Linked DNA regions of Callithrix jacchus. Each later gene encodes a partner of the first gene's protein in a complex. Links are inferred from orthologs where the notes say so. Each region holds a gene or a part of one and is shown on either strand. Other genes may lie near its edges.

The links.
Region 2: the proteins of LEPR (region 1) and LEP are in contact, whole or in part, in a crystal structure (PDB 7Z3R), measured with the Mus musculus proteins. The link is inferred for Callithrix jacchus from reciprocal best matches to the Homo sapiens genes LEPR and LEP. Residues at the interface, in NP_666258.2 of Mus musculus: Tyr439, Leu440, Thr441, Arg466, Ser468, Leu469, Tyr470, Gln499, Pro500, Ile501, Phe502, Leu503, Leu504, Ser505, Val560, Phe561, Glu563, Asn564; in NP_032519.1 of Mus musculus: Lys26, Val27, Asp30, Thr33, Leu34, Lys36, Thr37, Thr40, Arg41, Gln92, Gln96, Asn99, Asp100, Glu102, Asn103, Asp106, Leu107, Leu110.

Annotation. Positions count from the first base shown.
Region 1 is NC_133508.1:102,799,789-102,816,122, forward strand, and holds part of LEPR (leptin receptor), read left to right. Parts: intron 1-8,424; coding exon 8,425-8,754; intron 8,755-9,528; exon of another isoform or gene 9,529-9,632; intron 9,633-10,260; coding exon 10,261-10,384; intron 10,385-10,888; exon of another isoform or gene 10,889-11,042; intron 11,043-14,234; exon of another isoform or gene 14,235-15,086; intron 15,087-16,334. UniProt on the Homo sapiens protein: Receptor for hormone LEP/leptin. On ligand binding, mediates LEP central and peripheral effects through the activation of different signaling pathways such as JAK2/STAT3 and MAPK cascade/FOS.
Region 2 is NC_133512.1:118,735,906-118,752,799, reverse strand, and holds the start of LEP (leptin), read left to right. Parts: upstream 1-9,774; 5' UTR 9,775-10,040; intron 10,041-16,894. UniProt on the Homo sapiens protein: Key player in the regulation of energy balance and body weight control. Once released into the circulation, has central and peripheral effects by binding LEPR, found in many tissues, which results in the activation of several major signaling pathways.

The DNA.
Region 1 (16,334 bases):
TGCTAATCTCAAGGAATATCTTTGTGGTGTTCTCTGTATTTCTTGTATTTGTATGTTGGTCTGCCTTGCTAGTTTGAGGAAGTTCCCCTGGATAATATTCTGAAGAGTGTTTTCCAACTTGGTTTCATTTTCCCCATCACTTTTAGGTACACCAATCAAATGTAGATTCAGGAAGCCCATCTCATGTGAAAAGACACACATAGGCTCAAAATAAAGGGATGGAGGAAGATTTACCAAGCAAATGGAGAGCAAAAAAAAGCAAGGGTTGCAATCTTGTGCTTTGATAAAACAGACTTAAAACCAACAAAGATCAAAAAGAAGGGCATTACATAATGGTAAAGGGATTAATGCAACAAGAGAGCTAAGTATCCCAAATATATATGCACCCAATACAGGAGCACCCAGATACCATAAAGCAAGTTCTTAATGACCTACAAAGAGACTTAGATTCCCACACAGTAATAGTGGGAGACTTTAACACCCCACTGTCAATACTAGACAGATCAACAAGACAGAAATTTAACGTGGATATCCAGGACTTGAACTCAGATCTGGACCAAGTGGACCTAATAGACAGCTACAGAACTCTTCATCCCCAATACCCAGAATATACATTCTTCACAGCATCACATTGCACTTTTTCTAAAATTGACCACATAATTAGAAGTAATTAATTAATTCTAATCTTCAGCAAATGCAAAGGAATGGAAATCATAACAAACAGTTATGATTTCAGACCACAGTGCAATCAAATTAGAATTCAGGATTAAGAAATTCACTCAAAACTGCACAACTACAAGGAAACTGAACAACCTGCTTCTCAATGACTACTGGATAAATAATGAAATGAAGGCAGAAATAAAGATGTTCTTCAAAACCAATGAGAACGAAGACACATAGTACCAGAATCTCTGGGACACATTTAAAGCAGTGTCTAGAGGGAAACTTATAGCACTAAATGCCCACATGAGAAGTGAGGAAAGATCTAAAATTGACACACTAACATCACAATTAAAAGAACTACAGAAACTAGAGGAGCAAGATCAAACAAATTCAAAAGCTAGCAGAAGACAAGAAATAACTAAGATCAGAGCAGAACTGAAAAAGATAGAGACACAAAAAATCCTCCAAAAAAATCAATAAATCCAGGAGCTGGTTTTTTGAAAAGATCAACAAAATAGATAGACCACTAGCCAGACTAATAAAAAAGAAAAGAGAGAAGATTCAAATAGATTCAATAAAAAATGATAAAGGGGATACCATCTCCCATCCTATGGAAATACAAACTACCATCAGAGTTTACTACAAACACCTCTATGCAGATAAACCAGTAAATCTAGAAGAAATGGGTAAGTTCCTGGACACTTACATCCTCCCAAGACTAAACCAAAAAGAAGTTGAATTCCTGAATAGACCAATAGATCTGAAGTTGAGGCAACAACTAATAGCCTACTAACAAAAAAAGGTCCAGGTCCAGACAGGTTCACAGCCGAATTCTACCAGAAGTACAAAGAGGAGCTGGTACCATTCCTTCTGAAACTATTCCCAACAATACAAGAAGAGGGAATCCTCAATAACTCATTCTGTGAGACCAATGTCATCCTGATACCAAAACCTGGCAGATACACAACTGAAAAAGAAAATCTCAGGCCAATATCCATGATGAACATTGATGCAAAAGTCTTCAATAAAATACTGGCAAACCTAATGCAACTACACATCAAAAAGCTTATCCATCACAATCAAGTCGGCTTCACCCCAGGGATGCAAAGGTGGTTCAACATCTGCAAATCTATAAATGTAATCCATCACATAAACAGAACCAAAGACAAAAACCACACGATTACCTCAATAGATGCAGAGAAGGCCTTCAACAAAATTCAGCAGCCCTTTATGCTAAAAACTCTCAATAAACTAGGCATTGATGGATCATATCTCAAAATAATAAGAGCTATTTATGAAAAACCCACAGCCGTATCATACTGACTGCACAAAACTGGAAGCATTCCCTTTGAAAACTGACACAAGACAAGGATGCCCTCTCTCACCACTCCTATTCAACATAGTATTGGAAGTTCTGGCTAGGGCCATCAGGCAAGAGAAAGAAATAAAGGGTATTTGAACAGGAAGGGAGGACATCAAATTGTCCCTGTTTGCAAATGACATGATTGTATATTTAGAAAGCCCCATTGTCTCAGCCCAAAATCTCCTTAAGCTGATAAGCAGCTTCAGCAAAAGTCTCAGGATATGAAATAAACGTGCAAAAATCACAAGTATTTCTATACACCAATAACAGACAGAGAGTGAAATCATAAGTTAACTCCCATTCACAATTGCTACAAAGACAATAAAATACCTAGCAATGCAACTAACAAGGGATATGAAGCACCTCTTCAAGAAGAACTACAAATCACTGCTGAAGGAAATGAGAGAACACAAACAGATGGAAAAAAATCCCATGCTCATGGTTAGGAAGAATCAATATTGTGAAAATGGCCATACTGCCCACAGTAATTTATACATTCAGTGCTATCCTCATCAAGCTACTAACACCTTTCTTCACAGAATTGGAAAAAAAAACCACCTTAAACTTCATATGGAACCAAAAAAGAGCCTGCAAAGCCAAGACAATCCTAAGGGGGGGAAAAATCCTCCAGTGTGAAGCTGGAGGCGTCACACTACCTGACTTCAAACTATATTACAAGGCTACAGTAATCAAAACAGCATGGTACTTGTACCAAAACAGATATAGACCAATGGAACAGAACAGAGGCTTCAGAAAGAATATGACACAACTACAATCATCTTTTATTTGACAAACTTGACAAAAATAAGCAATAGGGAAAGGGTTCCCTATTTAATAAATAGTGTTGGGAAAACTGGCTAGCTATGTGCAGAAAGCTGAAACTGGATTCCTTCCTTACACCTCATACAAAAACTAACACTAGATGGATTAAAGATTTAAACATGAGGCCTAACAGTATAAAAACTCCAGAAGAAAACTAGGCAGTACCATTCAGGAATAGGCACGGGCAAGGACTTCATTACTAAAATACCAAAAGCAATGGCAACAAAAGCCACAATAGACAAATGGGATCTAATTAAACTTAAGATTTTCTGCACAGCAAAAGAAACTATTAATAGAGTGAACTGGCAACCAAAAGAATGGGAAAAAATTTTTGCAATCTACCCACCTGACAAAGGGCTACTATCCAGAATCTACAAATAACTAAAACAAATTAACAAGAAAAAAACAACCCCATCAAAAAGTGGGCAAAGGATATGAACAGATGCTTTTCAAAAGAAGACATTTATGCAGCCAACAACCATATGAAAAAAAGCTCATCATCACTGGTCATTAGAGAAATGCAAATCAAAACCACGGTGAGATACCACCTCACACCAGTTAGAATGGTGATCATTAAAAAATCGGGAGAAAACATGCTGGAGAGGATGTGGAGAAATAGGAACACTTTTACACTGTTGGTGGGAGTGTAAATTAATTCAGCCATTGTGGAAGACAGTGTGGCAATACTTCAAGGATCTAGAAATAGAAATACCATTTGACCCAGCAATCCCATTACTGGATATATATCCAAAGGATTATAAATCATTCTATTATAAACACACATGCACATGTATGTTTATTGTGGTACTGTTCACAATAGCAAAGACTTGGAATCAACCCAAATGCTCATCAATGATAGACTGGATGAAGAAAATGTGGCACATATACACTCTGGAATACTATGCAGCCATAAAAAAGGCTGAGTTCATGTCATTTGCAGTAACATGGATGAAACTGGAAACCATCATTCTCAGCAAACTGACACAAGAACAGAAAACCAGACACCACATGTTCTCACTCATAAGTGGGTGTTGAACAACGAGAACACATGGACACAGGGAGGGGAACATCACACACTGGAGTCTGTTGGAGGGTGGCGGGCTAGGGGAGGAACAGCATTGAGGGGGATTGGGGAGGGATAGTGTTAGGAGAAATACCTAATGCAGATGATGGGGCAATAGATGCAACAAACCATCACCATGGCACGTGTATACCTGTGTAAGAAACCTGCATGATCTGTACACGTACCCCAGAACTTAAAGTATAATGAAAAAAACAAAACAAAAAAAGAAATGAAATGTATACTAGTCCTTCCTCCTTCTCACTGCAGGAATATCCTCAAAAGTTTCAGATGTTCCTTCAGTATCTTATGTTTTTAACTGTTATGAACTATTTCAGTCTTCTGCTTAAAATTAGTCATACATTGCCGATAACTTTTTTTCTGAGATGGAGTCTCACTCTGTCATCCATGCTGGAGTGCAGTGCTGCAATCTCAGCTTAATGTAACCTCTGCCTCCCAGACTCAAGTGATTCTCCTGCCTCCCGAGTAGCTGGGACTACAGGTGTATACCACCCGTCCTGGCTAATATTTTGTTTTGTTTTGGTAGAGACAGGGTTTCATCATGTATGCCAGGCTGGTCTCCAACTCCCGTCCTCAAGTGATCCGCCCACCTTGGCCTCCCAAAGAGCTGGGACTACAGGCGTGAGCCACCACGCCTGGCTGATACATTGCCAATAAGTTTTGAGCATACCATTCTCATATGTTACTTACCACATTCTGGTAGCATTCTGATTTTCTTAAACCAAATCATCTAAGTTAGATTGCGATCCAAGTTTTTGAAATCAAAGTTAGGTTATCTTTAACAAAACTCATGTGATTTGGCAACTGTTTATCTAGCTTTCTTTAACGAAACTTATGTTGTGGCAATTTTATCTGGCAACTGTTACCTGTGTGTCAGCTGGTTCCGAGCATCTCCTTGGCTACTCCAATCTAAGGAAGCCCTTCTAAGCTGCCCTATAGGTCTTCCTTGTTGTACATACTTCTTTCTCATTGCAGCCATCTGTATACTTCCAGAAAATAACTCAGCTCCACTGTTACAGATTTCCAAAAAATTATGCCACAAGGGACTATCAAAGAGAAATAACTCATTCTTTTTTCATATTCTCTATTTTTATTAGATATATTTAAGGGAACTATTCATTCTTTTTTATAATTCTCAATCTAATTTTTGTTAGACTCTAGTGTTTTACATTGGCTTTCTGAAAGGTTTTGGTTTGACCAAGTTTGTGAATCAGAAGAAATCCTGGGACATTGTTACCTAATAAGATATGCCTTTGGGTGAAAATTCTAGACCCTCTTTACGGTTTAGGATTCATTTTGAGGGAAAGAAATATCATTTGAAAAGGATGAAGGTGGATAAAGTGGACTCATCTTTTCCTTTGAGTCTGCATCAATAGTTGCTATGTTTTTGAAGTTCATTATTACATTTTACATTTAAATACTTCTGTAACGATTTTAGGCTAATTTATTTCAAGCAACTGAATCCTTCATGTAGACCTAGATTACATAATGCTGTAAATTAGTAATATTACATATTCTTGGTATTGTAAGTGTCTTCCCTTCAAAAAACTATTCTGTTTTCTTCAGGTGTTCTGATTTTAGAAACATGTTAGAAGGAGTGAAGTCCAAAGGAACGTAATTGTAATACGGAATTATTTTTGGTAATGTTGTGATACCTAATTGTCTTCAGTATGGCCATAGTCATATTTGTTACATTAATCACTTTGGCCTCAATTTTTGCATCTATACATATTTATATTAATTTATATTTATAGAAATATTTAGTAACTAAACTATTAATAGTCATTACTTATGTATCATTTGAATATTTTCACAGATACTGCTTTTGTAATAAAAAATAAATTTGTGGATTGATTAAAATGTTTTTATTTTCTTCCATTTTTAAACAGCCTTTATTTTTTAGAGCAGTTTTAGGTTTACACCAAAATTGAGAGAAAGGTACAGAGATTTTTCCATAGACTTCCTACTCCATACATGCATACCCCTCTGTTACCAACTGTCCCCCCTCAGAGTGGTACACTTGTCACAATTGATAAACCTACATTGACACAGCATCACTCGAAGTCCATCATTTACATTGCAGTTCACTTTTGTTGTATATTGTGCGAATGATGGCAAATGTACATATAGTGTCTTTTATCTGCTACTGTAGAGTCATACAGAAGAATTTCACTGCCCTTCCCATCCTTTATGGCCCGCCTATTCATCCTTCCCTTCTCCCTAACTCCTGGGAACGGATAATCTTTTTATTGTTTCCATAGTTGTGCCTTTTCATATTGGTTTCTTTCACTATAAAGGAACAATATAGTATGTAGCCTTTTCATATTGGTTTCTTTCACTTAGTAATATACATTTATGTTTCCTTCATGTCTTTTCTCTCTTTAAATTTTTATTTTTATTTTTATAGATTCAGGGGTTAAAAGTATGGTTTTGTTATGTGGATGTATTGTGTAGTGTCTGCATCACCTGAATAGTGAACACTGGGCATGATATATAATTTTTCACCCCTCACATAATAGTCCCCAGTGTCTATTGTTCCCCTCTGTATGTCCATGTGTATGCATTGCTTAGCTCCTATGAGTGAGAACATGTGGTATTTGATTTTCTGTTTCTGAGTTATTTCACTTAGGATAATGGCCTCTAGCTCCATCCATATTGTTGCAAAATATATGATTTCATTCTTTTTTATGGCTGCATAGTATTCCATAGTGTGGTATGGGGTGTGTGTGTGTGTGTGTCTGTGTGTATCTGCATGCTTATGTGTGTGAATATTCCACACTTGTTTTTAATACAGTCATTCCCTGAGGGACACTTAGGTTGATTCCATGACTTTGCTATTGTGAATAGTGCTGTGACAAACATATGCCTTTTTGTTATAACGATTTCTTTTCCTTTGAGTAGGTACTTAGTAGTGGGATTGCTGGATTGAATGATAGTTCTACTTTTACTTCTTTCAGAAATCTACACATTGTTTTTCATAGTGATATTGGGCACTTTTCATGTTTATTGGCTGCTTGTATATCTTCTTTTGAGAAATGTCTGCTCATTTCCTTTGCCTTCTTTTAAATGGGGTTATTTGTTTTCTTCTTGTTAAATTGTTTGAGTTCCTTCTAAATTTTGGATATTAGTCCTTTGTTGGATGCATAGTTCTGGAAGAGTGCTGGAACCTCCATGTCTTTTTGTGACTTGATATCTTATTTCTTTTTATCACTGAATAATATTTAATTGTCTGGATGTACCACATTTTACCCATTCACCTACTGATGAACATCAGGGTTACTTCTATTTCCTTACATTATTACATTTACCATAACTTCAAAATTCTCTTTTCATACAAATCCATATAAGATTATCAGAATTCCTATTCTGCATTAGTGTCTGTATAAGCCAACATAATTGTTGCATCATTTGGGTAACTTATTGAAAAAAATTTATGGAGAATTATTTTATTTTAAAAGAATTATTTAAAAATAAGTTTGGCCGGGAATGGTGGCTCACACCTGTAATCCCAGCACTTTGGGAGGCCAAGGCAGGTGGATCACCTGAGGTCAGAAGTTTGAGACCAGCCTGGCCAAAATAGTGAAACCCGTCTTTACTAAAAGTAAAAAGCTGGTGTGGTGGTGGACACCTGTAATCCCAGCTACTCAGGAGGCTGAGGCAGGAGAATTGCTTGAACCCGGGAGGCAGAGGTTGCAGTGAGCCAAGATTGCACCACTGCACTCCAGCCTGGGTGGCAAGAGCGAGACACTGTCCCCCACCACCAAAAAAAGTTTAACTTTTGTGGATTTTTTGGTACAGGATTATGTAACTGTTCTTAATTTTTACATTTAAAAAGTGATAGTTTAATCAGCAGTAAGCATTTTCCACAAGAAGTTTATTGTTGTGCATCATTTCTTGTGTAATATGCTAAGGGCATGTCTTATATGATGTTTTGAATTTGGTGAATCATGAAAAAATTCAGGAGATCGTCAAGCTATCATCATGTTGAAGACAAATTCTTTCTAAAAAATGCTCAGCAAAAGCAGTGCTAATATTTTGATGCTACTTTCTTAAATAAATATTAAAATAGTACTTTAATGATTGTCTGTATAATTGCACATCCAGATATTTATCATTTATACTGGATATTATATTTATCATTTATACTGGAAGCTAGAATAATATGTTTTAGAAAAGAAAAATAAAATATTTAGCTTTTGTTTCCTTTCATTAAAGCATAAATTTAAGATGTCAGATTAAAGAGAAAACATGAAGTATGAATTTCCAAAAAGAAAAGAGATGCCAGAAAAGGGAGTTATTTTTATAAATGAATGCATCCTCTTGAATATAACACATTGTACAATGGAAGCACAGAGTTATTGATTAGGCACCAATTGAGGACTTAGAAAGTTAAATAATTATTGAGCACTACTTGGTTTAATCTCAGGTACTTCCTATTCATGTCCTAGTCAAAATGATTACTTGTTTTCTATGTGTTTTTTTCATATCCTAACAGAATTTATTTATGTCATAACTGCATCTAACTTGTCATATCCAATCACTCCTTGGAGATTTAAGTTGTCTTGCATGCCACCAAATAAAACTTATGACTACTTCCGTTTGCCTGCTGGACTCTCAAAGAATACTTCAGATTTGAATGGACATTATGAGAAAGCTGTTGAAGTTAAGTTTAATTCAAGTGGAACCCACTTTTCTAACTTATCCAAAACAACTTTCCACTGTTGCTTTCGGAGTGAGCAAGATATAAACTCCTCATTATGTGCAGACAACATTGAAGGAAAGACATTTTTTTCAACAGTAAATTCTTTAGGTTTTCAACCAATAGGTAAGTATTTTCATGTTCCAAGCATTAGCTATTTTTTAAAATGTATTGAACAATGAGTTTTAATTCTTTGACACCTGTATGAAATAGCTGTCTTATGGCTGTGATTTTTAATATACATTAGTATTTTTATATTGATAATAAAATTGGGATTCATTATATGACCAAACTAATAAATAATTCCCCAATTATCTTGTATCCCATAAAAATCTGATGAGGGAACTATTTTACTTTTAAGTACTACATTTCTTGTAGTCTTCTAAATTTGCTTTGAAATAGCAAAACACACCTTATTTTTGTTAAATAGATAAAATATCAACTGATAATATTGTTGAATTAGTTAAATTTTAAAATATTCATGAATAATAATATTTCTTCAGGCAAGGAATCTCTCTGAAAGAGTATACATTTTAAAATTGGGTTTTTCAGAAACAATAGCTGATGGATGCTGTGCTTAACACCTAGGGAATGTGATGGTCTGTGCAGCAAACTGCTATATGCTATGGCCCACATTTACCTATTTAACGGACCTGCGCATCCGGCCCATGCACCCTGAACTGAGAATAAAAGTTGGAAAAACAAAGAAAGAAAGAAAAGAAAAAAATGCTTTTTTATTGTTTAAGTATAATGCATACTGAATGTAGCTAGTGTAACTAAAAATTCTGCATCTGGAAATATAAACAACAAAATTATTCCAAGTCTTTTGGAAAACCTAGGAAGAGTGGAGTCAATGGACTCATCCACATAAAGAGACTTCTGGTATGAAAACACAGGAATATCTTTTCCTGCCTCAAAACCATCATGACTGGGTTTTCACATATATGTGTGAGATGTGCCTCCCTCAGACCTTGTTATGATGTTAGATCATTACCTGTCTGATTTGAAAAAAAAAATGGCTGGGTGCAGTGGCTCATGCTTGTAATCCTAGCATTTTAGGAGGCCTAGGTGGGCAGATCGCTTGAGCTCAGGAGTTAGAGACCGCCTGGACAACAAGACTAAACTCCATCTCTACTAAAAATAACCCCCCTGCCCCCCCAAAAAATTAGCTGGGCATGGTGGTGTGTGCCTGTAATCCCATTTACTTAGGAGACTGAGGTGGGAGGATCGCTTGAGAGATTGACGTTGCAGTGAGCCATGATCATACCACTGCACTCCAGCCTGAGCAACAGAGTGAGACCCCGGTCTCAAAAAAAAAAAAAAAGAAAACGTGAGAACTGAGCTAGATGAGTTTTGAGGTTTTTTGTCCGACCTAAGTGGTTTGAAATTAAAGAAAAGTTTGAGGAACAATAATTGAATTTAATTCTATTACTTTAGAAAAAAGGAAACTGAGGGCCAAAGGTTCTGATAGACAAGCACATGCTCCTAGTTAAGGCCTGTTCTTTTTCTCTCAATAGGCAGTGGAAGTGGTATCAGAACACTGGTAAATTTGATTTAGCTCTTGTCTTTCACTGAACAACTGAGTTCTTCAGACTGTTTTTGAGATTTCATGTAGTTTTTTTTTAAATTCAGGTGCAAACTGGAACATACAGTGCTGGCTAAAAGGAGACTTGAAATTATTCATCTGTAATGTGGAGTCATTATTTAAGAATCAATTTAAGAATTATAACCATAAGGTCCATCTTTTATATGTTCTGTAAGTACCAAATAATTAATTTGGACATTTTTACTACACAATTTTTTTAAAAGAGCTTCCATATGCAGAAGTAGATTATAAACCTCTTGCATCCCTACTTTTCCTTTTATATGTTTTATTTTTTAATATAGCATTCTGTTCCATTGGGTTTCCTCTTTTCTCTTCCTGTTGATTCAGGTAGCAAGACTGTCAGGTTTAGGACCACAGTTGTCAGGTCCATGAGTACACCAAATGCTAGGTTCAAGTTCAGGTCCCAGCCCTGCTGAGGTCTGAAGGGAGTGGGTTCATGGGTGATAGCTGAAAGAATACTTGGGGGGTGGTGGGGCATAAGCAGGTGAAGTGTAGTTTTATTCAGCATCTCTCTCATCAGCAGCTTACTCAGACTAGGTCTCTCATTAGCAGCTCTCTTACATCAGCTTTTTCTCACTGTCTGCTCTGTTTTGACTGCTTGGGCCAGCCACTCCCACATGCAGCTGCACAGCTGATTCTCCCGTGCCTTCAGGGTCAGCAACTTAATTCTTTTTCCCTCTCTGGACACAAACGTGAACCATGCTGTTCCCATGATGTGCCATGCTGAGTTATGCCCTGGTTCCCCTCTTGTCTATCTGCAAGACTGACAGTCCTGGTACTCTCTTTCTGTCTCTGGGCACAAGAGAACCTGTACATGAGCACATGTACAGTGTCAGCAGGGTAATTATACCTTTTACAGACAATAGTGGCATACTTTTGAGTCTGGCTGGCAGACTCTGGCCCAATGATGGATGAAAGACATAAGCAAACATAGGCTTTTTACCTGGTTGCATGGCTAGAGGACTCATGGTTTATTGATCCCTAGGGGAGTGCTGTGGCCCCAGTAAGCCAGCAACTCTTGTATTTAATTAGTATAGGTTTAATGACAAAGATTCTGCATAAGCACCGTTTGTGGGTAATTAATGTTGCTGACCCCCCAAGTAGAGAGCTGTCATGTGCACAGATGGGCACAGGTTGGTCTTAGGATGACATGAATAAACAAGCTATTTAGATAAACTCCTCTATATTCCCTTGTTATCTGCTCTTTGCTATTAGCTCAAGGTAAGAGGAATAGGCTACCTTTAGCCATAACTCTCTCCCAAGGCTTTTGCAAAACCTTCTGGCTTTCCAAGAAGGATTGGAACTTTCTATAATTTTTCCCACCATTCTGACCGATCTCCTACAGCATATGGCCAAGGGATGGCCTTCCCATGTTATGGCTATCTGGCTGAGATAACAGGTGGAGTTATATGCCTGCACTCTTCTTGCTGAGTCATGCAGGCCTAATTCTTGACCAAAGCACATCCATGTACCTTACAAAGATATTGCAGATATAGGTGTGCATATAGTCTGAAAGAAGAGTGAACTCAGTTCAGGAGTTCTAGATATTTGAGTGGAAAAGCATAAAGGATATGTTTTATATTTCTTTTTCAGACGATTTTTTCATATTTGATTTCTTTATAAACTTAAAAATATGAGTGCCTAATATTTATTTGTGGTAGAAAGAGAATGAAGATATTCTTTTTAAACAGCCATATACTTATAACTTGAACAGCTAATGTGTCACTCAAGTTTGTAATTACTCCAGTGATGATATACATCATTTCTATGTCAATTTTAACTCTTTAAAATTCTTTCTAATTAAATCTTCTGTTTGACACTTAAAGTCTCACCCTCTTCAGTTCTGCAGTTAATGAGATAATACCATTGAGGAGCAATGTGCTAGAAACTGTCCCTATACAAATGAATAGAGACAGAAAGTAGAATGGGGCTGAGAGGAGGGGGAACTGGGGAGTTAACTGTTTAATGGATATAAAGTTTCAACTTAGGAAAATGAAAAATGTCCTAGAGTTGGGGAATGGTGATGGTCGTATAATAATGTGAATGTATTTCATGTGGCTGCACTGTATACTAAAAATGGTTGAAATGTTAGATTTTATGTACATTTTATCACAATAAAAATTTTAAAAAGAAATTTAAAAGACGTGTAAAAAAAGATAAATGGTTACAATCTCTGCCCTTGATGTTCTCAAAGGCTAGCAGTTGAAACATATATGTACAGAGTCAGTTTTAGCAGTTACTGATATGTATTTGGTAGGTACATAATGTCATGGGAGCACATGATTGTTGTGAGGCCTTAGATGGGGTTATCTAGTTTAGCTAGTGAGAGGAGAGAGGAGCCAAGGTTTCCTAAGGAAGGAGATAGCTGAAGTGAGTCGTTAGAGATGAATAAGAGTGAATAAGAAAATATGTGGGCACTGTAGTGTTGGGGAAGGTAATCAGTATCACCTGGAACCTTGTTAGAAATTTAAATTTGCTAGCTCACCTCTGTGAGTGAAAAAATTGGGGGGTGGGGCTCATTAATCTATGTTTTACCAAGTCCTTTAGGTGATTCTAATGGAACTCAAGTTTGAAAATTCCTGGTGTAGAATTTAATTTGGCAGATTCTAGAGTCAGTCTACCTGGCTGTACCGCTTACTAAATGTACACACATAGCACTTATTATGTTTAACAGTTGTCTACCTCTAGAAATTAACTCAATGGAAATATTTATACAAAGCTTAAAAATTCTTTATTGAATGTATACATATTGCCAAAATGCTTTCTAAAAAATTTCTAATTTACCCTCCAGAAATGTCTTCGTGAGCCAAAACATTATTAATAAAGAAATAATGCTTGAAGCTGGGAGAAGTGAGTGGTCAATGGCCAGATATATCAGGAAGGTATAATAAGGTCTGAATAATATGTATGGATTTGGCAGTGTGAAAGTAATGAGTCTTTAGGCAGAGTCATTCAAGGGAGTGGAAAGAGAGGTTGCCAGAACAGAGGGAAACTTGGAGGAAGGACCCTGAAGAACTGACCTTTGAGGAGGTTGGTGTTAGTTCCTCAGTCAGTTGATGGAGGGACCCTGCAGAGATAGAATTCATATATCTAAGGCATACTGTGGCTGGTGCTGAGAATATGGAGGAAAAAACCTGGTTACTGGGGCCAACTGCTGCTGCCCAGGTGAGGAACCTCTGACTGGAGTGATATTTCGAGAATGGGAGGCAAAACAGGAAGGATCAACTCCTTTGTTACTCCATTATTCTAGTCTCTTTCTAGCTCACCAACAGGTAGAATTTAACAAGAAACTATGGTTTGCCAAGTTCCAGCCCCAGCATGGCAAAACAGAGCATTGGGTGCATTTGAAGATGGCAGACAATACCTTAACCACCAGCAAAACTCATTTTATTGGCTCATTGGCTACGTAGAACATTCACACACACCTTTCTATGCATGTCTACATTTCCCTAAAACTTCCCTATAACTTCATGCTTTCACCTAATTAGGTGCAACTATACTTTTTAAAATGTCTTATAATGATACCTTCTGAAGTTAAACATAATGTAGATTCCGTTTTTAAAAAGTATCTGTTTAGTACATTTAAACAAATAAGTAAAAAACAAAACAAAACAACTGTCTCCTGTGAAGGCTTCTAAGAAGAGAAATCGTGACAAGTTCCTGATCAGATAAAAACCATTCGGGCCGGGCGCGGTGGCTCAAGCCTGTAATCCCAGCACTTTGGGAGGCCGAGGCGGGTGGGTCATGAGGTCAAGAGATCGAGACCATCCTGGTCAACATGGTGAAACCCCGTCTCTACTAAAAATATAAAAAATTAGCTGGGCATGGTGGCGCGTGCCTGTAATCCCAGCTACTCGGGAGGCTGAGGCGGGGGAATTGCTTGAACCCAGGAGGCGGAGGTTGCGGTGAGCCGAGATTGCGCCATTGCACTCCAGCCTGGGTAACAAGAGCGAAACTCCGTCTCAAAACAAAAACAAAAACAAAACAAAACAAAAAAAACCATTCCATGATTATTGGTGACTTTATTGGTGCTGTGGCTTTTTCTGCTCATCCTAGCTCAGAAAGGGGAACAAGCTCCCATTTGAAGTGGAGCCCTCAATTGAATCCTCCATGGACAACAGAGGTCGAGCTGTAGGCTAGCATGTTAGCACCAATGATGTCAATCACTGAGACCATCATGGTCTGCTAGTCCATGCAGATGACAGCCAGCAAGGGCTGCAGACACGTCACATTCACTTCACATGGCTGTCTAGGAACACAAGGATGTTTGTTGGTGGACTGCTACACTCATTCTTCCTTGAATCAGTCCCTGACACTTTGTATCTCTTATTACCTTAATTTTCCCAGGGGGATATTTTTGGACATATTCATCTGGTTCTCCTTTCAAATCATCAAGGTCACTAATAACATACATGAGGATGATTTCATGAAGCAGGTTTTCTGGCATGCAATCTATGACACTGTGCAGTGTCTGGAGACAGGCAGAAAAAACTTAATTGTAGGCACAGATAACCAATGTTAGCAACTGGTGGTCAGATGGTAGGACTTTACATGCTGCATTCCTTGTGCCTGGCATATCTCTGTGGTAGCCTGCAGTTACCAATAAGCATATTAAAAGCACATTTCTGATAGCTCAAGTCTCTCAACTCCTGAGCGCATTCATTAAAAATCATGCCCAGTTCAGAAGACAATTTCAAGTGGCCTTTTCCTGCATCTTCAATATGACTAACACATCGCCAATTTTGTTTGCTTTGAACTGTGGCTCTAGTAATAGACTCGGAGCTTGAGTGAAACAAGAGTAGAATTGTTTTGGAAATGGTCTATGGGGCCCAGACCTCTTGATGAGTGCATTCTTTTTTTTTTTTTTTTAAATATCCTTTTAAAAAATATATACTTTAAGTTCTAGGATAGATGTGCAGAACACGGGTATACGTGTGCCATGTTGGTTTGCTGCACCCATCATCTACATTAGATATTTCTCATACTGCTATCCTTCCCCTATCCCCTCACCACCAGGCAGGCTCTGGTGTGTGTTGTTCCCCGCCCTGTGTCCATGTGTTCTTATTGTTCACCTCTCACTTATGGGTGAAAACACGTGGTGTTTGGTTTTCTGTTCCTGTGTTAGTTTGCTGAGAATGATGGTTTCCAGCTTCATCCATGTCCCTGCAAAGGACATGAACTCATCCTTTTTTATGGCTGCATGGTATTCCATGGTGTATATGTGCCACATTTTCTTGATCCAGTCAAGAAAATTGACTGGACATTTGGTTTGGTTTGGTTCCAAGTTTTTGCTATTTTGAATAATGGATGACCACATTCTTAAGTGACTGAGTCACTTCACTGAAGTTGAAATGAACAAAAAGCAAAACTGACAAGGTCACAAAAGTAAAATTACACCCGTAACAGAAATATTGAACTATGACAGTTCCCACTGTAGACCTAGCATAAACTAATGGACCATTTTCAATTTGTTTAACACTGACAGCAGCTTTTCAGGACTCAGGCTGTGGCATCTTCCTCCTGCCACAGCCCCTGTCTGAGTCACAGGAGCTTCCCAGAGGGTGGGGAGTGGTGGGATACACTTTGAACAAAAGGAGACAGTCTTATCCTCTCCCCCAAATGGGATGATGCTATGTCACATATTTTCTGTGCAACATGTACAGTATTGATCTCTGGGCAGTATTAATTGCTCTTCTTAGTCACAGTTCCACCTGAATGATTACTCTGGAAGCTAAATATAAAACTGTAAATTTAATAACAGCAAGAATCCTTATATAAAACAATAGGGGGAAGGAAGAGATTGAGAAGAAATTAGTTAATATATAGAAACACACAGAAGCATACTGTAAGAGAGAAAATATGCATAGCTGCCACTGCTCACCTTTCCGTATTGATTACCAGACTGTAGTTAATATTTATTACTTATGTTAGACCCCTGGACTTTAAGTCACCCATAGGAGGAACCCAGATATAGTGCCACTGCCATCTTATCTGGACATTGAGTGTCCCTGTGGTTATCATTTCCACCTGCTGGATACCTGATGCCAGGAGTCTGATGAACCCCAAAGCCTCTGTGTCTTTGTGCAGTTATCACGAGGGG
Region 2 (16,894 bases), on another chromosome or scaffold:
TTAAGGCCAGCCTGGGCAACATAGCAAGACCACATCTCTACAAAAAATAGAAAATTAGTGGAGTGTGGTGGTTCGCACCTGTAGTCCCAGCTACTCAGGAGGCTGAGGTGGAAGGATTGCTTGAGACGGGGAGATTGAGGCTGCAGTGAGCCATGATCGTGCTGCTATACTCCAGCCTAGATAACAAAGTGAGACACTGTCAAGAAAGAGAAAGAAAGAGAGAAAGAGAGAAAGGAAGGGAAGGAAGGAAGAAAGGAAGGAAGGGAGGGAGGGAGGGAAGGGAAGGAAGGAAGAAAGGAAGGAAGGGAGGGAGGGAGGGAAGGGAAGGGAGGGAGGGAGGGAGGGAAGGAAGGAAGGAAGGAAGATAGAGAGAAAGAAAGAAAGAAAGAAAGAAAGAAAGAAAGAAAGAAAGAAAGAAAGAAAGGAAGAAAGAAAGAAAGAAAGAAGAAAGAAAAAAAAAACTTACACAGTTGAAGTCTTTGTGCCCCTTTCCTTCCTCCAGCTGTCCTGAAGTTGGTAGGTATTCTCACACTGGTGCTCATACTTTACCATGTATGTATTACTCATAATTACACCTAGCAATGCTTTGAGTGCTTCTTAATTTACGTAAGTGATGTCACACTAAACCTACCATTCTGGAACTTACTTTTTTCTGCTAACATTGTGTTTCCAAGATCAATCCATGTTGATGCAAGAAGATCTAGCTGTTCATTTTTACTGCAAAATAACATGAAACTGTACAAAGATACCACAATCCATCCACTCACCTGCTGACAGGCATTAACTTGTTTCTAGTTTTTCACCATCACAAATGATTCTGCAGTGGACATCTTTGAATACGCTTCTGTAGAGTAGACCCCTACAAATGGTGTTGCTGGGCCGCAGGGAGGATGCATTCCAGTGATTAGACACACTGTCAATTTGCTTGCTAGTTTGGCTGAGCCAGTTCATACTTGTGCCAGCAGCAGACAAAAATAACAGAAAATGAAATTATTTATTCAGTGTGCTCTTGGATTGGGCTCTCTCCTGAACGCAAAACCAATTATCAGGGTTTTCTCTAGCGCCTTCCTGATCTTTGTTTCCCTAATTCTACTTTCTCTCAAAGTCTTAAATTCTTTAGCCATGAATTCTTCTACAGCTAGGGTTTTCCAGAGTCTGACCTAGTGACCCAGAAGAAATGACTGGAATGTGTGTTACAGGATGGAGTAGGGCGTGTGTGTGTGTGTGTGTGTGTGTGTGTCTGTGTGTGTGTGTCTGTGTTTATAGCTTTGTACCAACGCCAACAAGAAAGAACTGGAAGGACAAGGCTTCCCACAGTATCTTTTAAATGATGCATTAAATCCAGGAAAAAGAGGTAACCAGTGTGACCCAGAATCCACTCTCAAGCTGTAGGTCCTTTCTTCCCCTTCTTATTTGTTGTGGGTCAAGGGAGAGTTGTCCCCGGAGATTACCCTGTGACTCCATCTTCCCTGCTCCCCAACCCCACCAGACTCCAGATACTTCTCTGAGCTGTGTAAACCCAGAGGCGATGGAAAGAGGTGCTCTGTACAGAGGGGCAGCCCCATGTGTTCATATGGGGCAAAGGGCTGACTTGGCCCCAGGCCTAAGAGCTCTCTGTCCATGCCAAAGACTGCTCCCACATCTGGGCCTGTGGGCTTGGGAGAGCTGCCAAAATCCTAGACTGGGCAATGACCATGGAGAGCATAGATCTTGTCCACCGAGCTGATCCCTCAGCCCCAGGACCGTGAAGAATTTGTCTGGAATTCCTTCCCTCATAGGCCCTGAAGCAGGAGCCTCCAAGGCCTCTGAAGTTGACTTGAGAAAAGGGGATGGGGGGATAGGGATTAAAGGGACCACCACAAAGTTGCCTGGCTCAAACCAGAGACTTTTCAACAGACAGGAACCTGAAGTGAATGAAAAAGTCCAATTTACGATTAAGTGAGAGTAGGGAGGGCCCTGACCCAAAGACTATTTTTGTGTTTTTTGTTTGTTTGGTTTTGGGTTTTTTTGTTTTGTTTTGTTTTTGTTTTTTGAGATAGGGTCTCACTCTGTCACCCAGGCTGGAGTGCATTGGTGCAATCACTGCTCACTGCAGCCTCCACCTCTGAGGCTCAGGCAATCCTCTTGCCTCAACCTCCCCAGTAGCAGGGACCACAGGCACACACCACCACACCCAGCTAATTTTTAATTTTTCTTGTAGAGACAGGGTCTTGCTATGTCACCCAGGCTGGTCTCAAACTCCTGGGCTCAAGCAGTCCTCCTGCCTTGGCCTCCCCAAGTGCTGGGATTACACGAGTGAGCCACTACTTACTGTTCTTTTTCCAATAGAAAGACCATGTTTGAATGGGATTTCTCCCCCAGCAAACACTTGAAGTGTGACCTGCAGGAGTTGTTTGTTTGGAGGGGGGCGTTTGTCCTTTATCAAAAAGATAAAACTTGGTTAGGTATGAGGTTTCTCACCTGTAATCCCAGAACTTTGGGAGGCTGAGACAGGAGGATTGTTTGTGGCCAGGAGTTTAAGACCAACCTGGGCAACATAGGGAGACCCTGTCTCAACAAAACAAATTAAAATTTAGCTGAGCATGGTGGTGCACACCTGTAGTCCCAGCTACTCAGGAGGCTGAAGTGGGAGGATCTCTTGAGTCCAGGAGAACGAGGCCACAGTGAGCCATGATCACACCACTGCACTTCGGCCTGGGCAACAGAGTGAGACCATATCCCAAAAGGAAAAAGATAAAGCATGAGAATCTTGGTGTCCTTGTTCCACAGAGTCCTTCTGGCCAAAACAGTCTGCCCTTTGGGCAACAGGTGGCTTGCTGCAACAAGAGGTTGAATCCCAGGGCGATTCACCAAGGGACCTCACCTCTGAGCCCTGCTCACCAGCCAATGAGGACGCGTGGAGGTGACGTCACTGCATCCTGTTGCTCAGCCCAGCCTGGGAGATGTGACAGCTGGGGAAAAGAGCCAGTGAAAGTGCTGGATGCCATGACCCAAGTTGGTAAAAAAGTGGTGGAGGGCAAATGAGTCAGCAGCAAGTTTAAGCAGTGAACCATTGCACCATGGGGTGTTTCTCAAATTCTTGTCTACGTTTACAAGAAGTACACAATGACATTCAGGGGGCATCTTGATTCTGAAATAGCTACAGAAAATGCGAAAAATGCAGTGGGTGAAGATGTGCCCACATTAACCTCTTTTCTAAAACAGCAGTTGACAGTGGTGCTGCGTGTCCTTAAGCAAATCTTTTAGCCTGCCTGTTCCTTAGTTTCCTCATCTGTGACATGAGGGGAATGTATGAAAAATATCTCCAGAGATTCCTTCAGTCTAACATCTGTGATTTGATGATTGATACTAGGCTCACATTCTCGATACTAGGGCTGTGTTTACGCAGTGCCAAGGCCACTAGCTCATTCAGGGAGTATGAACAAAATGTTCTTCCAGGCTCTTCTTTGGCATGCTGTAAACAAAACAACCAGTTCATTGGCACCATTTTTCATTTCACAAGTGGTTGCACTGTTCATCTTGACCAGTGCTTCTCCAGCAGTGATGTCCTGACATGCTGCCTGCCTGGAGCACTTAGGACGTGTGTCTGAGGCAGTTGGCCACAGGTAATGAACTGTTGAGGTTCTCAAATGGTTGATGACTTTTAAAAAAATCAATTAAAGCAGATTCAATATAGTCCCATAATAATGCCCCTGCCACTCAGTTGATTTCTGATATGCCTCCCTGAAAGGAAGGAATGGTGGAGTTATAGTTGCCAGACAGAGACAGCCCGTAGCTCTGACTCTGTTGGATGCTCATGGGAGGTGTCACACATCATGCATGTGAATGTCGCCCATCATCTGCACCACGGCATTTGAGAATGACTGACGGAAACCCCTGAGACATGGTCGGACATCAAGGCACAGGAGACTCAGGCCCTGGAGCCATCTGGGCCAGCATACTATGACGCAGGTGCAAGCCAGAAAGAGCATTCGACAGAGTACAGAACGAAGGGCCCTGTTCATTATGCCTGTCTCTTGGTGCAAAAGGAATGATTTTACCATAATCTGTTCATAGCTGGGGAAGGAAAGGGAGCGTGAAATAGCGTCTATTAATCATGTAGGGACCAAGCCCAATGCCAGACACCCATGGCGGGTTTTCGTGTTGCTTGCCATGTACTTTATTCTCAGCTGTCCAGGGGGACTACACTTCCTCTTTCTTGTGGTTTGGAAGAGTCATGTAAAATTCTGGCCAATGGGTTGTAGGTAGAAGTGATGTGTGCCAACTCAATGCCAGGGCATTTTGCTGATAGTTTTAGGCCCTCCAGAGCTCCCTTTTCCTCCAGCGTGGGAACTGGCAACAGTCTGATGGCTCCTCCGCCATCAGCCTGAGTATGCCTCCCTGAAATACTAGGGAATACTAGGGAACCGAGCTCCCAGGTGAGGCGTGTGCATCACGCATTACATGTGAGGACGAAGGAAAACTGTTGTCGTAAGCCACCAAGGTTTTGAGGTGCCTATAACAGCAGCACAACCTAATTTTGTGCTGACTGATGCAATGTTTTATATAATATGGTAGCATAGTAGAAAAATGTGAGCTTTAGAGTTTACAATGCTAGGCATGGTGTCTCATGCCTGTAATCCCAGCACTTCAGGAGGCCAGGGTGGGAGGATGGTTTGAGCCTAGGAGTTTGAGACCAGTGTGAACAATGTAGTGAGACTCCATTCTATTTTACTTCTTTTTTTTTTTTTTTTGAGACGGAGTTTCGCTCTCGTTACCCAGGCTGGAGTGCAATGGTGCGATCTCGGCTCACCGCAACCTCCACCTCCTGGTTTCAGGCAATTCTCCTGCCTCAGCCTCCTGAGTAGATGGGACTACAGGTGCACGCCACCACACCCAACTAATTTTTTGTATTTTTAGTAGAGACGGGGTTTCACCATGTTGGCCAGGATGGTCTCGATCTCTTGACCTCGTGATCCACCCGCCTCGGCCTCCCAAAGTGCTGGGATTACAGGCTTGAGCCACCGCGCCAGGCCTATTTAAAAAAAATAAAATAACAATTTTTAAAATGGAGTTTAAAATACATGAGCTAAAATCTAAACAGTCACTGGCTGTGAGCAAATCTGTTAGCTTCTCTGAGTCTGTTTCTTCATCTATAAAATGACATGATGTTTTTATTAGGTTTGGAAATATATTTAAAATATCTAGCACAGGATTTGGCATATAGTAGATGTTCAGTTATAACAATTTTAATTTCATGTATTCCTCAAAATAATGGTATGAGTAAAGAGAGAGCATGGGAATAAGAGAAAGGTTAGTTACTATGGACGTTTCAAATGCCTTCCCCTGAACTCAGAGAAGCCCTAGAAGGGAGACAAGGCCCTGAAGTTACCATGTACAATTTAGCCTTTCCACTGCCAGAGGAAAAGCAGATTCTACTTATGGTAGTGACTACTGACACCATCAGCATATAAAATAAGAATATAGCGGTGGAGTGAGTTAGTGTCCCTGTTAGTTTCACCGAAGCTTGTTATCCTAGCCAAGCACCAGCAGAGGTCTTTCCCAAAGGCGCAATGAACTAAACTCTTCTTTCAAATCAGCTTATTAGTATTATCATGACCACTTCAGCTGGCTCACCCGGGACCTGGGAATGAGCTGGAGAGTGAACTACAGAGGAAGGGAGAGAAAGAGAATATCCTCGAGGCAGGAGGAGAATGAAGGGCCTTTGCCTCCTCCTGCTTCCCAGCAAGCCTTGCTTGATGGAGGAGCAGGAGCAGTCAGAGAAGATGGTGGGGGAATTCCGATTCTGTGTGTCCTTCCCTCACTGAGCCAGCTGCTCCGGAAACCTCCAGTTCCAGGTCAGACGCCTGCTGCAGTTCCCACTTAGATTTAATTTGGTAGAGTTGTTACCCCCAAGCCCAGTTTTCTCCAAGGTCTGCTCCCAGACCATCGTTTGCCTCTGAAATACCACATCCTGACCCTGAACTTGGAATTCTGAACATTCGATGGCCTGCCTGCTTGGAACACCCCAATTCTGCCTCTGGGATGAACGTTCCCTGCACATTTTCACACACATGAAGTAGAGACAGTAGCTCAGGATCCAAGGAGAACTTGGATGTCATCAGCAGGAGGTCAGGCTGGAAGCACTTCCTGAAGCCACCACAGCCTTTGGTGAATGAAAAATAGAGATGTTCAGTTCCAGACAAAGCACCATATGCTTGTGCAGCTGTTACACCTGCCATCAATCCAACCCTGATTTGCACTTGACTGACTTTTGACTTTCCATGAAGATCAAGATCCCACGAAAATGCCTATGGCCAGTCGGGTGACTCTAATTTCCAGCAAATGGGTGGTTCTTCTAAAATGGGGAGGTTTACCCGAAGCATGTATTAGATGAACATGGATTTGTGACCTGTGCTCAGGGTTTAAAGCATGGTGAGAATGGAAGTAAGATGCTGAGACTGAGTCCTGGTGGGGCTAGTTGACCTCATTTTGATCAAGACCACAGATTTTACCCCTGACCCAGATTAAAAACCTATAAAATGGGCTTCTGTGATCATGAGAGACACAAGCAGTGATGTGCTGGAGCAGACTAACAGCAGCTTGTGAAATCCAGGTGTAACATATTCTGGAAATTTCTAAGCCAATTTTTAAAATCATTAGTAGCTTGAAATTTATTATGGTGCAAGTATTTATGCCATGGAAATTGGTAAGCCCCTACAAATCGGGGTTTCTCTTCCTTCTCCCCTCCTCCATCTCTTCCTTCTCCCCTCCCCCCCCTCCTCCTCCTCCTCCTCCTCCTCCTTCTCCTCCTCCTCCTCATCCTCCTCCGCCTCCTCTGTAAGAGCTTGTTTAACAAGGCATGTGTGTCTTCTTGCAAAACCAGTCTTTCATTGCAAAAACTATTCTAGAGATGGGATCAGGGGAATCAGTTTTGTATATGGGAAGAACACAGCTTTGAGGACTAAAAAAAAAAAAAACAAAAACAAAAACCAATCAAGTTTTAACATCGATAGAAACTTTGATTAGATAGGGAGTTGTGGCTTCAGTGACTGTGCTGAGATTTTAAATTTAAAAGATCTTGCTGAAGTGAAAATTCCAGTAAATGTTGGGTTGTACAGCGCTGTAGGAGTCTGTAAAAAGAGCTGTAGTCATGTACTGTAAAAAGCCTTTATTGAATTCTCAGTACGACAGTGGTCTCTCATTGACGTGGCTTCCAGGGAGGGAGCATCTGGTCCCCAATCCTTGCAGAGAGGGGCTCACACCCAGATTGCAGCTGATTGTGCCCGCTGCTGTGGGGGCTGCTGTAGGAGGGACAAAGAGCGTTGAATAATCTGTTATGGGCTGAAGGCTGTCCCCTAAAATTCATGTATTGAATTCCTAATCTCCAGTGTAAACTGTGTTTGGAGATAGGATCTTTAAGGTGCTTATTAAGGTTAAATGAGGTGGGGAACTAACCCAGTCTGACCAATGTCCTTATAAAAGAGGAAATTTGGACACACAGAGACACACTGGGGATGAGCGCGCATAAAGAAAAGGCCACGTGAGGACACAGGGAGAAGGTTATGTCTGTAGGCCAAAGAGAGAGGCCTCGCCAGAAACTAAGTCTGTGGGCACCTCGCTCTTGGACTCTCAGCCTCAGAACTGTGAGGATGTAAATTTCTGTTGTTTAAGCCACTCATCTATGGTATTTTATTATGACCGTCCTAGCCGGCTAATGCCATCTGCAATCCAAATTGCCTATTGCTGTTCTTGTCTGTTGATTGATCAGTTTTACAGGGTAATCGACCCTCCTCCACAATTCTTCAGGCCCTCCTAACCGTTGCCTGAGATTCCCAATGTGCCCAGTCACTCAACTGTGAAGCCAAGGGGTAGAGCCACTGTGACTCAGTCAGAACTTGGCAGTTTACCTTAGGGGATGACAGTCAGATTGAACGTGAGCAGAACTTGGCTCTGCCAGCGTTTAGCTACAGAATCGTGAGCAAGCCTTCGTCCTCTTCATGCCTCAGGGTCCTCATCTGTAGAATGGGGGCAAAAACATTCTCCTCCCTCATAGGATTACAGTGACAACAAAACAAGATCGTGGAAGGATAAGCACGTAGCACAGTGCTCAGTGAGCACTGTCCTGAAGCTAAGCCGGCTTGGGCACAGCCTGAGTTAGAGACAGCTCTGCTTGCCCTGGCACTGGGGGGGTGGAGGAGGCATGGGGGGATGCGGAGGGTGCCTGAGAGGGCAGGGTCTTTCCTCTCCCGGTGACCTGCACTGTGGGGAGCAGGTCACTCACTAGGACAGTTCCTCCTGGCACCAAGACCCCCCCACCGTTGAATTTTTCTCCCTTTAGTTGTTCCCTCACAGAACAAGCTCTTCACAGAGAATATTGTGTGTCTTAAAAAATAAGATAATCAAGTAAAGGTGTCACAGAGAGCCTGGTTTTCAGCAGGCGATCAATACATGTTAACAATTTCTACAGGTGCAGTTCCTAAAGCAGTTTTCATGCCATCCCCCAGGGCAGCTGTGGCCATAGAATCGAAGCATAATTTGGACACTGTTGGTGGGAACAGCACTGGATACTTTTATTAACCAACTTGGTTCAGCCTCTCTAAGGAGGAGAGCCCCATTCATGCCAAAGGCTTCTCCAAGCCCTTCCCAAATACCCAGGATTCAACAGCCTGAGTCCCCTGAAAATGACTCCCCCCAGAACACAGCACAACCCAGCAGCATGGCCCTTCCTGACTCTCCGATCCTCCTTGCCACATGGGCTGATGGAGGACTCAGCTCTGTGGCTCTACCAAGCCCCATCTCTCTTCCTGCGCCATGAGCAAGAGCATTTGGTGACCTGGTGAGAAAGTGGGAATGGACACAAGGCCTGACTCCTGGCAGGAAGCTTCAGACTTGCAGCATGTGCTTAAACCTCAGGAAACAGAGTGTGGCTCACAGGTGGTCCGAGCCCAGGAATGATGAACCCCATGCTGCTGGGAGTTCGCCTCATGGAGTCAGCTCTGCGATATTTGGGCCATGGAGCTATGGACCCAGCTCTCCAGGAATCTCCCCTGCAATGACTGAAAGCTCCTTTAGCACTTTTCTATTTTCCTGCCCCCTGGGATCCTGCTAAGTACATGGGGGCTCTGGAGAAATCACTTTGTGTCTCTATGTCAACTTCTGATTAAAAGTACTTTAAAAGTCATGTGCTGGGCCATGTATGGTGGCTCATGCCTGTAATCCCAGCACTTTGAGAGGCCGAGGCAAGGAGATCACCTGGGGTCAGGAGTTCTAGACCAGCGTGGCCAACATGGTGAAACTCTGTTTCTACTAAAAATACAAAAAAAAAAAAATTAGTCAGGCATGGTAGCGTGCACCTGTAATCCCAGCTACTCAGGAGGCTGAGGCATGAGAATCACTTGAACTCAGTGGGTAGAGGTTGCAATGAGCCGAGATTGTGTCACTGCACCAGCCAGGGTGACAGAGCAAGATGCTGTCAAAAAAAAAAGGCAGAAATCGTCATGTTCTGGAATGGTCTGATTTGTACCTACAAAAGAGCAGCGTTTTCAGAATCAGGCAAAATAAAGGGTCAGCTTACAATCTACCCTTATCAGGGACCTGTGGCTAAGGGACCTTTCCGTGGAGAGTTGTAAGAATGCACTCAGCAGAGAAAGGAAGCTCACAAAGGAATTCAGGTAAGGAAATTCCTCCGGCGATTCAGAAAAAGGCAGTCACGAGTTTCTAACATTCTAGAAACATCACATTACTGTCACATGTTGCTGTATTTACTCCCTGTTTACTCTCTGTCTGCAGGGCAGAGATAAAGATGCCCAGAAGAAACTAAAGCCTTCCTGTGGGAAGCTATAAAAGATCAGGAGGGAATTCTTTATCAGAAGTTGAAGATTGTGCTGAGTGTGGTGGCTCACACCTGTAATCCCAGCTGTTCAGAGGCTGAGGCACGAAAATCACTTGAACCTGGGAGGCAGAGGTTGCAGTGAGCTGAGATTGTACCATTGCACTCCAGCTGGGGCTACAAAGGACTCTTGACAAATCTGACCGGATTCGATCGACACCTAAGAAAAGTAAGACTCAGAATCTATTAATTCTACATAAGCCTAAGGATTAAAGCAGACAATGGCAGCACAAGTAATAAGGATACTGGTTTATGCCTAGGTGTTTGTATTTCTTTAGGTCTAACTCTAACTATATATCCTATTTTGAATTAATAGTTGTTATTCTTTGTTTTTGGTTATTTTAACAAAAAGCTCTATTTAAAGAACACTAGCCAGATGTGATAGCTCATGCCTGTAATCCTGGCACTTTGGGAGGCTGAGGCAGGTGGATTGCTTGAGCTCAGGAGTTTGAGGCCAGCCTGGCCAACTTGGCGGAACCACATCTCTATAAAAATATAAAAATTAGCCAGGCATGGTGGGACATGCTTGTGGTCTCAGCTACTTGTGAGGCTGAGGCAGGAAGACTGCTTGAGCCCAGGACGCTGAGACTACCGTGAGCCTTGATCACACCACTGCACTAGAGCCAAGGTGACAGAGTAAGACCCCATCTCAAAACAAGACAAAAAGAGAACACCAATGCCATTAGGAAAGAATGCTTTAATTACTAATGCCGTTGAGGAGCCAAGCAATTCAAACCCACCTGACTCCAGGTGGCAGTTTGTTTCAAGTACAGGCAAGGAGACTCAAAGGAAATAAACAATTTGTGGGGTTCTAGCAATGCGAACCTATAAGGTTCTTGTTACCGTCATAATGCTTGATCAATACTTATTAACAAACCACATTCTAGAAGGAACAAGTTTTAAAAGCCTGAAAACTGACAGCCAGTGTCCTGAAGGTGAATGAGTAACAGTGAGAGAGAGACCAAGTGGGGCGATGCTGCTGTGCTTTAGGTAAAAACGTCAGTAAACGGTTCAGCCTCCACATACACAAAACCCATCAAATTCTACAGTAGTGAAAGGTGGAGGCATTCCGTGCAAAGTTAAATCAGGCTCCTTGGAGGTTCCAGGAGCTCACAGGAGATTCTTGGGTTTTGGAGATATCCTGGGGTAACTTGTTTGGTTCAAAAATGTAGAAAAGGAAACACGGAGTCCCACAAAGAGATGAAAAAACTTCTGTTTTGCGGAAACTTTTATTTCTCATCAAATATCCATGTACCCACCCACTTTTCTGACCCACTTCCATTAGTTAGGGGCCATGTGGCTGATAGAAAAGTGATTGACGCTGCTTCTGGGCTGATGAGTGTAGGAGCTGGCACCCAACATGCCAACTCTTCTCCCGCCTGAGGGACCACATGCTGAGGTGTCAGGGAAGGATGTGGAATAGAGATCCTCCTGCAAGCTGAGTTGGTGCATTGTGTAAGCATGCAAGAAGCCCGGGGTGCAAGGCCTCTGAAATTCCAAAGGTAGCTTGCTCCTGCAGTTTGGCCTCACCTGACCTGGAGTGTACAGACCTCATTCCTATGTAACCTCAGTAACCAGGCTAGGAGGCAACAGAACCTCTGCCATTAACCCATGTGTGACCTTGGGGAAGTCACTCTTTTCTGGGTGTCATTTTTCTCATGTGGAAATGTAGAATTGGGTCAGTTGGCCTTTGTGCTGTCATTCTCCAATTTTGTGTTTTTGAAAATTTCCATCAAATAGTGTCTGAAAAGTTGTCTCTACTAGTGTCTGTCTGTCCCTGTCTATTATCTATTTAGACACCTCTCCATCCACCCATCTGTCTATGTTCATACATCCATCCTCACATCATCCATCCTTCCATCTATCCTCCCATCAATCATCCTTCCATCCATCCTCTCATCATCCATCCTTCCATCCATCCTCTCATCATCCATCCTTCCATCCATCCTCTCATCATCCATCCTTCCATCTATCCACTCATCATCCATTCTTTTATCTATCTTCCCATCCATCCATCCTCCCATCCATCCATCCTCTCATTCATCTATCTTCCCATCCACTTATCTGCCCATCCATCTCTATCCTCCATCCATCCATTGCTCCAGTTGAGTCCTGTTTCATTATTAAGGGAGCTGGGACAGCTGAAATAGTGTTTGGGACTATTTGCCTCCCCTTCCCTGCATCCCTTGCTGTAATGGTCAAACTGGCTGGGCCACAGTGCCAGATAGTCAGCCAAACACTATCCTGGTGTTTCTGTGGGTATGTTTTGGATGAGATCAACATTTAAAGCAGCAGGCTTTGAGTAAAGCAGATTACCCTCCACCATGTGGGTGGGCTCCATCCAATGAGTTGAAGGCTTGACGACAACTGACAACAGCAGAACATCCTCAGAGATACACACATGAGCAGAAATGCAGGAGCCTGCTCTGAATTCCCTAATATAAGCATAAAAGGGCGCACACCCCGCAGGCTTACAAACAGGAAAATTCGAGGTGCTGCTTAGAATGTGCCAACACAAAGCAAATGCTGTCATAGCACCTATACCTCAGCACTGACCCTCCCACCTGCACCCCTGATCTGCCCAGGGTTACCCAGTGCCCCTTGGACAGTCAGCATGCTCTGCATCAACCCTGCCACCCCTATGACCCCTTCCTGATGGTGCTGCTCTGACTGGTTGCAACACGGACACTCACTCAGAGTTTGGGAAGAGGAAGCTGTGATTGTGCTGAGCTTTGCAACCCCTCCCCCTGCCCCCACTCCCCAATTCTTTTTCTCCCAGAGAACTTAGCAGTAAAGGCTAATTTATGAAGTCCCTAAAGATTTGAACTTGCTGCAGAACTGGCCGCAGTTTCCAGTGGGTTAAAGTCTACTTGGAGTAGAGCAGAAGCCATGAGCTGTGCTGCCGAGGGGAGGGAAGGAAGGAGCCATACCAGACCAGCATCCCCAACAGCCTTCCTCCCCTACAGAGAGCTCAAAGATGACACTGAGTGTTGGGCATGGGATGCGGGGGATACAGGGTGCCCGGAAGAGCAGGAAGGTGGGGCTGGAAGGACCACCTCCATTACTAACATCCCAGTCAAATTCAGAAACTACCCAAGCCCTGGAGGGTCCTAAAGGCACTTGCTCCACCCTTGTACCACTCTTGTTCTCTCCTGAGGTTGCAAGATCAAATCCAGTTTAAGGCTCCCCCTTGGATTTTCTCATGTCATGGGCTGACGCCCACTGCTGGGGCCAAACATTCAATCCCTTCCCCATGAAAGTCAAAGCTAAATTTGGTAAGGATAATTTCACATTAAAAATAAGAGGTTCGGCCGGGCGTGGTGGCTCAAGCCTGTAATCCCAGCACTTTGGGAGGCCGAGGCAGGTGGATCACGAGGTCAACAGATCGAGACCATCCTGGTCAACATGGTGAAACCCCGTCTCTACTAAAAATTACAAAAAATTAGCTGGGCATGGTGGCGCGTGCCTGTAATCCCGGCTACTCAGGAGGCTGAGGCAGGAGAATTGCCTGAACCCAGGGGCCGGAGGTTGCGGTGAGCCAAGATCGCGCCATTGCACTCCAGCCTGGGTAACAAGAGCGAAACTCCGTCTCAAAAAAAAAAAAAAGAAAGAGAAAAATAAGAGGTTCACAGCCGGGTATGGTAGCTCACGCCTGTAATCCCAGTGCTTTGGATGGCCAAGGCAGGAGGATATCTTGGGCTCAGGAGTTTGAGACCAGCCTGGGCAACATGGTGAGATTCCATCTCTACAAAAAATTTAAAAATTAGCTGAGCATGGTGGCCTGTGACTGTGGTCCCAGCTACTTGGGAGGCTGAAGTAGGGATCATTTAAGCCCAGCAGGTTGAGGCTGCAGTGAGTTGAGATCGCACCACTGCGCTTTAGCCTGGGCCACAGAGAAAGACCCTGTCTCTAAAACAAAGAAAGTAGAGGTTTAAAAAAATTTATTATTATTATTTCTTGAGATGGAGTCTCTCTCTGCCACCCAGGCTGCAGTGCAGTGGCGTGTTCTTGGCTCACTGCAACCTCTGCCTCCTGAGTTCAAGTGATTCTCTTGCCTCAGGCTCCAGAGTAGCTGAGACTACAGGCATGCACCACCACCCCCGGCTAATTTTTGTAATTGTAGTAGAGATGGAGTTTCACCATATTGGCCAAGCTGGTCTTGAACTCCTGACCTCAAATAATCCACCCTCCTCAGCGTCCCAGAGTGCTGGGATTACAGGTATGAGCCACCATACCCGGCCACCAAAATAGGGACTTAATTTTCCCTGTTTAAAATAAACAGAAGAGACTCTTGCAGCCCATCTCACTTCCTTTTCCTAGAGCACTTATTTTGGAAACCATAAATAGCAGTTCCTTCTCTGTCTCTTAAATGTATGTAAATCGTTTTAAAAGCTAAATAAGCCTCTTGCCAACTTTAGGACCCAAGTATGTCTTTCTCCAAGGACCTGGGAACCATCTTGAAAGGTAATCATTAAGGAACATAGCTGTCCATCTTCTAGTCTCTGGAGAAGGGTAGGAGCCTAACTGCAGCTTCAACTTGCAAAACTACCTCTTGTCATAAAGAAATAAATTTATTATTTTTCCTTTGGGTAAAGGGAATTAGCAAACACAGATGGCCACCCCAATAACCAGGTGACTTTAGGATGAACTATGTGTGACAAATAGAACTCATTCCCTGAAAACTAGTCATCGTTTAATGTGGGAACACGTATGTGACAGCTTGGAGCTGCTTGGCTGGCCAAAAGGCAGGCCTCCTTTCTTTCTTGGCAATCTCTCTGCAGACTGCCCGGCGTGTGCGTCACATTCTGGTTGAATGCTTGTGCTCGTGCAATAATAAAGCTGTTTTCTTTTGCTTCTTCCTTTATGGAGAGGTTTTCCGGGTTGTGAGGAGATTTTGTTTTTAATTATAGTTCCCCAGCAATTCTCCTGCTCTCCCAAAGAGAGGATACCCAGGCCCTTCAGGAGGAGGGAGGCTGAGGCGGCACCACCAACAGGGGAGGGAGGAGAGAGGAGGGACATGCAGGCCCTGCCAAGGTCAGATGCTGCTGGGATAGCGGAGCCTCGGCATCATCGGCATCATCGGCAAGAAACAGGCTCCATCCATCCTAGACAGTTCCCCCGCTTCCCCAGCCCCCAGCCCCTCTCTGGTCTTCCTTCCCGGGCTCCCTTGCCCTGGGTTCACCTGTTCTCTTTTATGCATGGACTGGTACACTTCTGTTTTGCCTTTCAGCAGTTCTCACCTGCTTCGAATACAGAGGCTGTGCGTAATGGTTGCACAGTGAGATTCCATTCTCTACCTGTCTGCCGAGTCCCCTTTGTTCCTGAAGTGAACCTCATTCATCTGGACCCCATTCATGACATTTTCAAAAATCACTTTCCTAAGCAAAGACTGAAGTGTATTTTGCTTTTTCTGTGAAGGAAGATGATGTCATGTAAATTTACCAGCAAACTTGCTGGGAGCCACTCAGTTGACTCGAGATCAGGAGTTCTTTTTGAGCATTTGATGACATCTTTGCATACTGGATTGTCGAACATTGATTATTTTTCTCCTCCATTCTCACTCCCCACAGCTTAAATGGGACCCCAGGCTCTGTCCTAGTCAGGCTGGGGGCTAGATGGCGGCTTAAGGGGAAGGCCTGAAGAGGCAATTTGGTTTCAGCCTTTGAACTCTAATTCTCAACACTGGCTGCATTTCAGAAACACCAGAGGAGCTCAAAAGTATAAATATGAATGTGCAGATCCCAGCCCCAGCGCTTCTGTCTTAATTGAGGTGCCATGGCGCACAGGGCAGCATCTGCCTTAACAGCTCCCAGGATGGGAGTCTCTATCACATCTGTCAGTCAGCGCTCTCTTGTGAGTTCAGAGCCTAGAGGTAAAGGCCTCCCAACCCTAGGTGCTCATTACAGCACCAAGAGAGCTTTTTAAAAATATGACTGCTGGCCAGGCGTGGTGGCTCATGCCTGTAATCCCAGCACTTTGGGAAGCTGAGGTGGGTAGCTCCCTTGAACGCAGGAGTTCAAGACTAGCCTGAGCAACACAGTAAAACCCCATCTCTACAAAAAATACAAAAAATTAGCTGAGGGTGGTGGCATGGGAGGCTGAGGTGGGAGGATCACCTGAGACCAGGCAGTTGAGGCTGCAGTGAGCGGTGATCAAGCCACTGTACTTCAGCTTGGGTGACAGAATAAGACACTGTCTTAAAAAAAAAAAATTGAATGCCTGTCACAAAGCCCAGCGACTCTAGTTTAATTGGGCTGGGCTGAGACCTGGGCACCAGGAGCCTCTAATGGGTAGCCAGAGTGAGACTCACTGGGACAGGGAAAGAACCCTGACTTCTCAGTCAGACTGACTAGACCTAGAGTCTGGGCTCTGCTGGGCGACTGAAAGCAGGTTGATTCACCTCTCTGAGCCTCCATTTTCTCATTTCCAACATTGGAGTAGTGCAGCCCCCCATGCAGGGTTGACCGCAGCTGGCCTCCTCCACCAGCATGGCCTGGGGTGTCTCTCTCAGTAGTTCTCCTTGTCAGAAAGTGGCCATTTACCATCAATAATTAACTATGTTACCAATAAGAATTCAGTTCTTACCAATAAAAAGGTGCTGCTTTTGGAGATGTGGGAAAGAAGATGCCAGGGCCAGCCTGTCCTCCCAGTCTTTGACAAGTGTCAGGACTGTGGTTCTTTTCCATCTCTCATAAAATCCTGTTTCAGGAGGCTGGCTCTCTTGAATCAAATTGTACTTAATTAAATCTTCCCTGAATCTCAGAGAGTTTCATAGGAACTCTGCACATATTTACAGCCTTTGTCCAGGCACGGAGGTTTGTGCCTATAATCCCAGCACTTTAAGAGGCCAAGGCGAGAGGATTGCTTGAGCCCAGGAGTTCAAGACCACCAGGGCAACATAGGGAGATCCCCCCATTTCTACCCCCTCCAAAAAAAAATTAGCTAGGTATGGTGACATACACCTATGGTCCTAGCTATTTGGGAGGCTGAGGTGGGAGGAGTGACTGAGCCTAGGAGGTTGAA